Schizosaccharomyces pombe: one gene and its partner. The protein of the gene in region 1 interacts with the protein of each later gene in a pairwise test. Each region holds a gene or a part of one and is shown on either strand. Other genes may lie near its edges.

Region 1 (5,075 bases):
GCAGAAGCCGATATGCTTCCCATCCAGATCTACAGGCTTTGAATACTTGGATGACTAACGAAGGAAACCAAGCTAATGATGAAATGGAAGACGTATCCCTATATTTGGAGGAGAGATATGGGCGTAATTTAGATTTAAGTTTGGCTACAGCAGCTAAACTTGTTCTTCGACGACGTATCGCTGGTACCTTAAAAGATGAAGTTGATTTGCAAAAGGCTTTACCCAAAGAAGGGTCTCAGTATTTACGTGAAGTTAAAGGTTTAAGTCACGACGATGTTTTTTTATTTCCTACTGGCATGAGTGCTATTTACAATACTCATCGCATATTAAGGTTGGTGCTTGATGATAGCCGTAAAAGTGTTTGTTTTGGTTTTTGTTATGTTGATACCTTAAAAATTTTACAGAAATGGGGATCTGGCTGCTACTTTTATGGACTAGGTAATGACGAGCAACTTGATGAGTTTGAGAAACGGTTAGAAAGTGGAGAGAAAGTTATGGCATTGTTTTGTGAGTTTCCATCAAATCCTCTTTTAAACTCTCCCGATTTGGTTCGTATTCGGAAATTAGCAGACAGTTATGATTTTGCTGTCGTGGTTGATGAAACAATTGGAAATTTTGTCAACGTTGAGGTTTTACCATTAGCAGATGTAGTTGTCAGCAGCCTCACAAAGATTTTTAGCGGTGATAGTAATGTAATGGGAGGTAGTATGGTTTTAAATCCGTCAAGTCGTTACTACTCTCGAATAAAAGATGCTATGAAGGCTCTTTATGAAGACTTATTATATGATGAGGATGCTTTGACATTAGAAAGAAATAGCAGAGATTTTGCTGAACGTTCACAAGTGATAAACCATAACGCGGAAACAATTTGTAATTTGCTTTATCAAAACCCTAAAATTAAAACTCTATACTATCCCAAATACAATACATCAAAAGAGCATTTTGAAGCTTGCCGGAGAGAAAATGGAGGTTATGGTGGTCTTTTGTCTGTCGTTTTCCACAATCCTGAAGATGCGCGCCAATTTTACGACAAAATCCAAGTAGCAAAAGGTCCCTCACTTGGTACAAATTTTACGTTGGCTTCTCCCTATGCAATTTTAGCTCACTACCAAGAGTTGGATTGGGCTGGTGAGAATGGCATAGATAGAAACCTTGTTCGTGTCAGCGTTGGAATGGAACCCAGCGAACACCTGAAAAATGTTTTTATAAATGCTCTTTCATAACTTGTATCTAAACTGTTTTCAAATAATAGATATTTTTTAAAAACCCAATCATATAACTATAGTTATAGATGAAACTGTCATAGTTATTCTTGAAATTGTTGTTTTTTCTTTTTGGTATTACCTTAAATATATTTAAACAAAATAGAAAATATATGCCTGATGTGATAGGAAAATGTAGTAAAGATATGTTTTTCTAGCTATTTCGAATGTGAGAAATATTTTAGGAAGTTCATTGTCTAAATGTTTACTTCGGGAACAGATGCAACGAGGTACAATACGTTCGCTTGGGGTATGCTACTTTGTTCTCAACGCTCAGTAATAAAGTGCGCGCGCTAGAAATTCTTTTGGTGCAAACCAAAATCATAATGCCCGAATCGGCTCCTTCAACTCCTCCATCTGTAAATCGGAGGCATGAACCAGAAATGCTTTCAGAGTACCCCTCGCTGATGTTTGAACACTCATATTTGGCGTCACCCTCTAGTCCGATTGATCAGGTTCATGACGAACTCAAACACTCTCAGAAACGTCCAAGATTAACTAACGACGAAGAAACAATTCCAGAAGAAGATGACAGTACTGTTCGCCTTACAGACTCAGAGCTTGAAGATCCAGTTTCAAGCAACGAGTTGATTCAAACTTCATGTCACCTGCTCACAAGCGTGTTAACTCAGCTACAGACCAACTTAGATAAACTTAAAGATAGTCATCAAAAAGCATTACTTCGGATACAAGAACTAGAAAAAAAGGTCTCTGAATTAAGCAAAAATAATAAAGATTCATGAGAAAAACCCATATGCCAATTTGAGTGGAATTGCGATCATGTTTTATCAGCCGGCTCAAAACAAAAAGCAATATGACGATCTTGCTGATATAGAAGCTCAAAATAATGTTCCTAATACCCAAGAAGTTTTAGAGGCATGGCAAGAGTCTTTAGACAGTGATGAGGACGAGTCTTCGCCACTTGAGGAATCCAACGGCTTTACAATATCTGAACATGACGATTTCGTAAAAAGCGTTCCAAGAAAGAATAATCCAACGGATTTGCTGTATTCTGGAAAGCTTCTGGACTCAGACGAGCCTCCATCTGTTCATGGAAATTCTTCAAAAGTACCCTCGAAACACCCCAGTCCTTCCTTTCCTGAAACTACTTCTCTGAGGAACCTGCAAAATGGTTCAAAGCAAAAACCAGCACTCCCCAATTTTAACGATCCCCATTTTTATAATGAAGATGTCACTCGCTCTGGACATCCTAATCGATCTATTTATACTCAGCTTCCTCGTAACGAATTTTCCAACGCTCGCGTTCTTTGGAATCGTTTAAGTGCCCGGGATCGGGTTCTTTGGAGATGGGCAAACGTAGAAAATTTGGATAGCTTTCTTCAGCAAGTTTATACTTACTACACTGGTAAAGGATTGTCTTGTATAATTGTTCACCGACTATTTCAAATTTTGACAGTTTCATTTGTTATTGGTTTTACCACATTCATAACTAGTTGCATAGATTGGCCTGCTGTGACACCCCATGGTTCACTGGCTGGTGTCACAAAGTCTCAATGCATTGCACAAATGTCGCCAATAACGTATCTTGTTTTGTGGCTTTTTTTAAGTTTTCTTTTGGCACTTTGGATATATTATCTTACTGATATTCCAAGGTTATGGCAAATGCGTGAGTTTTATATTCATGCCTTAAAAATTGCTACCGCAGATATGCCAACAGTATCTTGGCAAAGGGTTTTATATCGTTTATTGAAATTAAAGAATGTAAATGCTCTTACTGCTGAGGATGGAAGGGTAGTGTCTCTTCATAACATGAAACGCCTGGATGCTTATGCAATTGCAAATCGTATAATGAGAAAAGACAATTACTTCATTGCACTGATAAATAATGGAATAATTAATATTGAGCTTCCTCTCTTGCACAGGAGAATACTCACACATACCACGGAATGGAACATAAATTGGTGCATATTCAATTTCGTTTTCGATGAGCAAGGTCAGCTTCGTAGTGCTTTTCGAAATCCTAACTCCCGGAAAAGGCTTTCTGAAGAATTACGTCGTCGATTCATCGTCGCTGGTTTCCTCAATTGCCTTTTTGCGCCAATCGTTGCAATTTACTTAGTAATTCACAATTTCTTCCGCTATTTTAATGAATATCATAAAAATCCAGGCGCGTTGAGTACAAGAAGATACACTCCATTAGCTTTATGGACTTTTCGTGAATACAATGAGTTACAACATTTTTTTGATGAACGCATTAATGATAGCTATGCGGCCGCATCTCATTATGTATCTCAGTTCCCTGACTTTAACATGATTAGGTTATTCAAATACATATCATTTATTTTAGGAAGTTTTACTGCGATTTTAGTAATAATCACAGTTTTTGATCCTGAATTAATGGTAACTTTTGAAATAACTAAAGATCGATCTGTACTTTTTTATCTTGGTCTTTTCGGATCTCTTATAGCAGTTTCGCGCTCAATAATACCTGATGAAACTTTGGTTTTTGCTCCGGAAAAAGCTTTAAGGCGCGTAATCACTTTTACACATTACATGCCAGGATGGTGGTCTGATAACATGCATAGTAAAGCTGTTCAACAAGAGTTCTGTTCTCTATATTCATATCGCATAGTTAATCTTCTTTGGGAGATTCTTGGAATTTTGCTGACACCCGTATTGTTGTTTTTCACTTTTCCTTCCTGCAGTCAAGATATTGTGGATTTCTTCAGAGAACATACTATAAACGTTGAAGGCGTTGGGTACGTCTGTAGTTACGCTGTTTTCCAGGACAACCCGCCTTATGAGTCTGTCGCTTCTTTGGTACAATCACGTAAAATAAGCCCTCTAATTCAAAATAAACCAGAACTTTCTCGCATCAGCTTTTACGAACAATTTAATACGGAAGCACCTAGAAGGGATCTTCGTTAATGAAATTGAGAGTCAGTTCTTGAAACAACCAAGCAAGTCTCAATGGCTTAATGGTTTATTTTTCTGTCATACAAAATGAAGGACAATGTTTATAAGAAGTGTTAACAATTTGCTAGCAAGGCAATTTGAGCCACTAATGCATGTAATGATTGTATTTTTACTAATTTCTTTTAATGAATGGTGATTGTTTGTTTGGAGAGTTAGCAGTTTACGTTGAAGCTTCTTTATTTATTCAGCTGTAGACTTTATGTTTTACTATTAATGAAGTTTACATTTAATGGAATGATATTATTTTTATGAACATCCGTACAATTTCTTTGAATCAATGTAAACACTGTTTATTACAGTTATAATTACGGAGTTACGCTACAGTGACGACTAATGACAATTACTTATGGTATTAATCAGTAGAAGAAAAAAAATAAAAAAAAATAAATAGATTGGAACAACTTTAAAACTTTCACTTATACTGCGACAAGTGGAAACAAATTTTCTTAGAGCATAGAAAATGCCGCGATTTTATTTTGTAGCATTGTTTTTCAATTCGGGTACAAGATGTATCGAAATGCATCAGTGCCGTTCAAATAATAACGATAAAGACGTTTATAGCGACAAAACCCGAGTCTTTCATAAAAAGACATGGCTGCCTCATTATCCACCTCTGTTTCCAAAACAATTTCCTGGGCACCTCTATTTTTCATTACATCCAGACTAGCTTGAGTCAATTTAGTAGCGATTCCTTGTCCCCTGTATTCTTTTACTATGGCCAGCATTGCTATATAACCTCTAAGCGTCGTCCCTCTATGAACATCTTGTTTGCATATTACAGCTCCAATAAATCGATCATTATCTAAAGCAACAAAACTGAATTCTGGCCTTTAATCTGTCAGTAAACTATAATGATATTGCCGAGTTTCATAATAT
Region 2 (5,612 bases), on another chromosome or scaffold:
CCTCTTGAACTGTCGAAGTTTTCTTTTTGTCCGTTTGTGATTCCCCTTGAGTAATGAAAGCTTCATATTGAGAGTCTAATTGAGGATTTCGAGGATCCTCCTGGTCAGTTGGAAAGTTCGCTTGACCAGTGTGAGATTCCTGTTGATCACTTTCAAAGCTTTGCATTCTTCCCATTTCAATTGAATCAATTCCCATCTCCAGGTCGCATGGTTTTTCTTTTGACTTTGTAAGAATGAATGATTTGATTACTTCCTTCAAGTTATACATTCTATGTCTCTGTTCATGCTTCACAAGTGGACTTGACGATCTAGAAGATCTATTCTGTTCATCTTCATTTTCGTCATTGACATTTTCCGGACACGGATCCTCTAGTAAGGTCTTCTGAATATTTCCAGATTCTGAACCATCTTCCTCCATTTCTTCTTGCACGTTGAAAATGGTTTCATTTTCCAAAACGTAAAAAGACGACAATGATGTTGATGATGTATTCTCGTTAAGCATTTCTCCCATTTCTTCAACTTATCTCTATCTTATTAATTATTGTTAATATTGAAGCAGTAAATCTGTTTTCAACAGTCAGATAATTTATAATTGGGGAACCGAAAAATGAAGACTTCTAAATAAAAACAAATAGCAGCAGTACAATTAAAGCCAAGCGATTATATTGGATTTCTAAAAAAAATAGAAACACCTTGTAACCAACAAATTTGAAACTTCAAAAAGTAGTATTTTAATCTTGGTGATTTGGAATGTAAAGAATATATAACATTTTGACAATTGATGATGAAAACATCGCAGCATCATGACTTATGGCATCTGCAATTTAATAGCAAAAACAAAAATTAATTAAAGTCTCGTTTCTTTATGACTCCTTATATCGTTGGTAAACCAGAGTACGAAATTCAAGGTATTTTAGTACTACCACATAATTTAATTCCTTTTTTTTTTTAAAAACGAAAAGGGCTGAGCAAACCTAAGCTTGCAAAACTTAGTACTGCCAAAAAAATGAGCATTTTATTAAAACTAAGAGCTCTTAGAAGTCAGTAATATCCTTTTAACTTCGGGTTAAAATCATGACCATTACCTTTAACATCAGTTGCATCGCTTCAAACATGATAATACTGAGGGTTTTACATTTAACTTTCACAAAAGTGATAGAGAATGCATCCTAAATCAATAAGCTAGTGCTTGTAAATGATTTTAATTAGTTAATAATTACCGTACACTCAGCCAACATAAATCGACATTATTGTTTGTTTTCCATAAGCGATGTTTGTGTATTTGGGTTTTAAAATAGCGAATATTTAGCGGCTGTCAACAAACATTTCCTACATTTAGCAATACATTACGTATCATCATTTGTTGTGCAATAAAAAAAAACGGTTAATATCCATTTATTGACAATTTTCGAAAATTGTATGTTTATGTCCGAAGTTTTTTCGGATTAAGGGAATCATAAATCAAATAAAACTCAGATTACTTAATTACTTGTTGTAGGTTATGCTCCATTTATTGTGAATTTAAATTGTTCCCTTCAACAAGACTACTTGCAGCACTGTTGCACATAATCCCTTTATATTCCAAAATAATAGCTCACAAAACAAGATTCACCGCAGTTTAAAGAGCCTTTAAATATAGCTACCATTTGTCTTATAACGTGATCGAAAGAAATCGTATTTAACGCAACGCTAATATTTACCGTGCTTCGTTGGAGCATGGCATCTGTAGTATCTTTTGCCGCTTACTACAATACTCTGCCTTACCAAATACGAACTGCAAAACCAAATTCATTCAATTAGGAAAACTAATTAAAAACTGCTTTATCAATTTAAAGAATGAGCTAACAATCAAATTGTTACATTAAAAAATTAATAATTTATACTTTGAAGTTGCAATTGAATTAATGGAAACCACATTGATATGCCGAGACTTAATACGCAGCTTCCTCGAATGTATTCTGCTCCCCCTGGGCATAGTAAAGCAGTTTCAACTGAGTTAAATAAAGATCTATCATCAGTGGGTGGTAGGAGCGCTAAGCTGGGCCAAGTCATTCACGTAAGTTAAAGTGTGTATCATAAGCTTGCTTGAGGTCCACCCATCCTTTACTTGAAAAGTATTAACATTTACAAATAGCATTGTTTTTATAAAACCGGATTAATAATTTTGGAATCCAGACTAAATGTATTTGGGACCTCTCGTCCTCGAGAAAGTTCTAAGAATAACAAATGGGTATGTATTTTTGTTTTTCTACAATGACGAGTATCGGTGTTATGCGCTTTATTCATACAGTGGTTTTCAAAAAACTCAAGATTATTTATCAATTACTTATCAGTTTACGTTCATCTCGTGCGTCTGCATAGAGTTTCATTTTTAAGCTACAGGTGAATAAGTTGATCACTGTACTATTGATGTATAAATGTGGAATTACAAATAATTAAAAAATTCATATTTGCACTTAATTAACAAAATGTAGTTCAATTTGGAAATTGTTGAAACTGAGCTTTATGCCGAGCAATTCAAAATTTGGAAGAATATTGAACTTTCTCCTTCACGAAAAATACCTCCAATGGTTTTGCACACATATTTAGATATATCTGATTTATCAAAAAATCAAACCCTTTCTGTTTCCGATGGTACTCATTCTCACGCAATCAACTTTAATAATATGTCGACAATGAAAATCGTACTTGAAAGATGGATTGTGAATTTAGATGGCGAAGCCTTATCAACCCCTCTGGAGTTGGCTGTTTTGTACAAAAAGTTAGTTGTTTTATTTCGTTCCCTCTACACTTATACCCATCTTATGCCTCTGTGGAAATTGAAGTCGAAAATACACAAATTAAGAGCTCATGGTACATCTTTAAAAGTTGGCTGTGCCCTCTCTACGGATGATGTTTTATCGAATGATTTCCTTCCTATAAGTGCTCCAATTTCATCCTCGCTCGGAAGCAGTATTGCAACTTTCTCTTTCAGCCCTGTTGGTACACCAGCTGGAGATTTTCGCATATCTGTTCAGTATCGTAAAAATTGTCATTTTGAGGTTCATGATTCTGATGCGTTACTCTCTAACCAGTTGTTATCTGCAGACAAGCATCAACTTGCTGCTTCGAACAATTCTCAAGATTTTGAAGATGGCAAACAGTATGATCAACCACCTCCTTCTTTTGCAACGCGGTTAGCTAAGCAGTCGGATCCGAATTCTCTTTTACAATCTGAAATCCAACATTTAGCTAGCATTGAGTCTATAACAGCTCAAGCAGCTCCTCTTGTTACTATACATCCTTTCAAATCTCCGTCATTATCTGCTTCCCCAGGGTCAAATTTTGACAATATGTCAATTTCTCCGAAGGTTGCAGTCAATCGTTATATACATCGCGGACCATCAGCCACCTCTTTAAATAAATTTTCAATGATTTCTGATGCTGCAAGCAAATCAAGAGCAAAATTGCCACCTCTTACATCTGGAAGTCTTAAGCTTAACACACTTGACATTTCCAATACCCCGAATCTTCGACGATTTAGCAGTAGTTTCGGTCCCCGCGAGCGTAAAGAAAGCTTTAGCTCTCGTAATCGTTTACCGCTAGTCAATCATCCTATTCGTAGCATTTTCAAACATAACGTCTCAGAGAATCCTATAACAGATCATTCTGAGCATGCTGTTTATGATAGTGAATTTGCATCAAAGGATGATCTTAGCGGTTTTATTCAACTATTAGATAGTCATGCACATCATTTAAATGCTTCGGAAGGTAGCAAATCAAGTGGTTCATTTCCAGGGAAGGTACAAACTTTGACATCTGGAATTTCGCCAGTTGCTCACCCTCATAATTCCTTGGGTAGTAGCAATGAAATTTTTGACATCGATACCTATAATCATTCAATTGATAATAGCGGATCCCGTTTTACTGAGGCTGTGAAGCATAATCTTGGAAATTCTAGCCATAGCATCATGCGCCATCACACTTTAGGTACGCTGCGATCTCGGCCTTCCTTCTCTGAAAAATCTACCTTCCCTGCTCCCCTGACATCCATTTCACAAGCTTCCACGTTCCAAGGAGATAACCGGTCTCCAAGCACTGTTATTCCTCATACTCAAACTGAAGTACCATCAGCAAACGATACTTCAAAGCAACTAGCATCTCTTCACGATATGCGGAAAAGTCAATCACCAATTTGTGCTAGATCGGCTACTTCTGCTGGACTTCCGCGTTTCGAATATCACACCAGCTTATCCAAATCACTGGAACATTCATCAACGCCAGCAAGCCTACAAGCAACAAAGACGCCCAGCCCTTCTTTTGTACTTGAGCCGGGAATCCCACAAGAGTACAAAAAGCACTTTGATAATCTTTCTGAAGAACGACGTCAATGTCTTACTCCTTCAACACCTACTTACGAATATTACAATGAGCATAACCCCAATTATGATGATGATTTATTGTTCACAATGACTGATATGACTCTTGAACCCCATGATGTTTCAGCTATTAGGCTTGGTTCTCCCAAATCCGATGATTAAGCGAAGCCTATGTTTAGAATTTGGAGTGATATAGCATCCATTTAATGCACTCAACCATTCTTGTTTTCTTTTAATTTTTTAATAGTTTTTTTCAGCTGCATTATAGCTTCAATTAAGCTTCGTTCCATACAAGTGAATTTCGCAATATTCGCCTCAATTCATGAGCTTTGGGCAGCGATTGAAAATACTCATAATGTCTGACTGTACTTTTCACATTTACCATGATTAGTATCTACATATACTGTTTATCTAGCTAGTGTAGGTATTAATTGAAATTGTAATTTAGTTTCTAATAATTTAAAAAATCACAGTTATTGAAAATTTAAATTTACTAGTTAGCAACAGAAACATCATGAATAATAGTAATTTGTTAGCTCTGTTTATTCTGTGTATAAAATATTAGCAACGTATACAGTTTCAAGATATTAATACAATCTTCTAGCTGCGATTTGAGCAATGTAAAACGCTATGATGTTTTACCATTGTTTTGAAAAAAAGAGGATGTTTCTTACTTCCTGAATATCGAAAAAAAGCACTACTATTTTATAAATTGGAATGTTTAAGATTAGTCAAAAACTATTTTTTTACCCTGGAATGCTGCACTAGAAGGCATTTTTTGTTTCCTTTTAGCCTCCCAAGAGGGATGCAGTTGCTCTGGTTTTTGAGGTGTTTGGTGCTCCGTAAAAGCATTTTCACGAGCAGCACGTTTAGCTTGCCTTTCTTCATACTTTCTCTGTCTTTCTTCACGAATACTCCTTTCTTCAGTCGCTTTTTTTATCAAATGGTTAGCACCTTTACCATACTTTTTTTCCCAAATAGCTTGTCTAGCTCTTTGACCACGACGATTTTTACGCTTCGGGATATCTACTTCTTCTAACTCCTTTTCGACAAATTCATCATCACTTTCGACTGGATCTAAGAAGCCCGCTGTAAGGGCAGGCAGATTAGTATTGTTATGTTTGCCCAGAGGAATTTCCAACATCTCATCATCAATTATAGACTTCCTGTTTATTAAAGTAGCATTTTGAAGAGATGATTCTTTTACACCTTCATTTTTCATAGAATATGACATAGACTTGTTGATTTCTTTGT

Evidence for each region.
Region 2: the proteins of atg9 (region 1) and atg13 interact in a two-hybrid assay, tested with the Schizosaccharomyces pombe proteins (one study listed by BioGRID).

Annotation. Positions count from the first base shown.
Region 1 is NC_003423.3:3,022,589-3,027,663, reverse strand, and holds atg9 (autophagy-associated protein Atg9), read left to right. Parts: upstream 1-2,005; 5' UTR 2,006-2,042; coding exon 2,043-4,151; 3' UTR 4,152-4,321; downstream 4,322-5,075. Other genes in the region: met3 (cystathionine gamma-synthase), read left to right, coding at 1-1,223; SPOM_SPBC15D4.08C (uncharacterized protein), read left to right, coding at 1,589-2,005; NatC N-acetyltransferase complex catalytic subunit Naa30, read right to left, coding at 4,691-5,027. UniProt on the Schizosaccharomyces pombe protein: Phospholipid scramblase involved in autophagy and cytoplasm to vacuole transport (Cvt) vesicle formation.
Region 2 is NC_003424.3:4,839,754-4,845,365, reverse strand, and holds atg13 (autophagy-associated protein kinase regulatory subunit Atg13), read left to right. Parts: upstream 1-1,762; 5' UTR 1,763-1,921; coding exon 1,922-2,056; intron 2,057-2,134; coding exon 2,135-2,230; intron 2,231-2,474; coding exon 2,475-4,520; 3' UTR 4,521-4,881; downstream 4,882-5,612. Other genes in the region: protein mug126, read right to left, coding at 1-511; BUD22 family ribosome small subunit biogenesis protein, read right to left, coding at 5,086-5,612. UniProt on the Schizosaccharomyces pombe protein: Component of the atg1 kinase complex that activates the atg1 kinase in a nutritional condition dependent manner through the TOR pathway, leading to autophagy.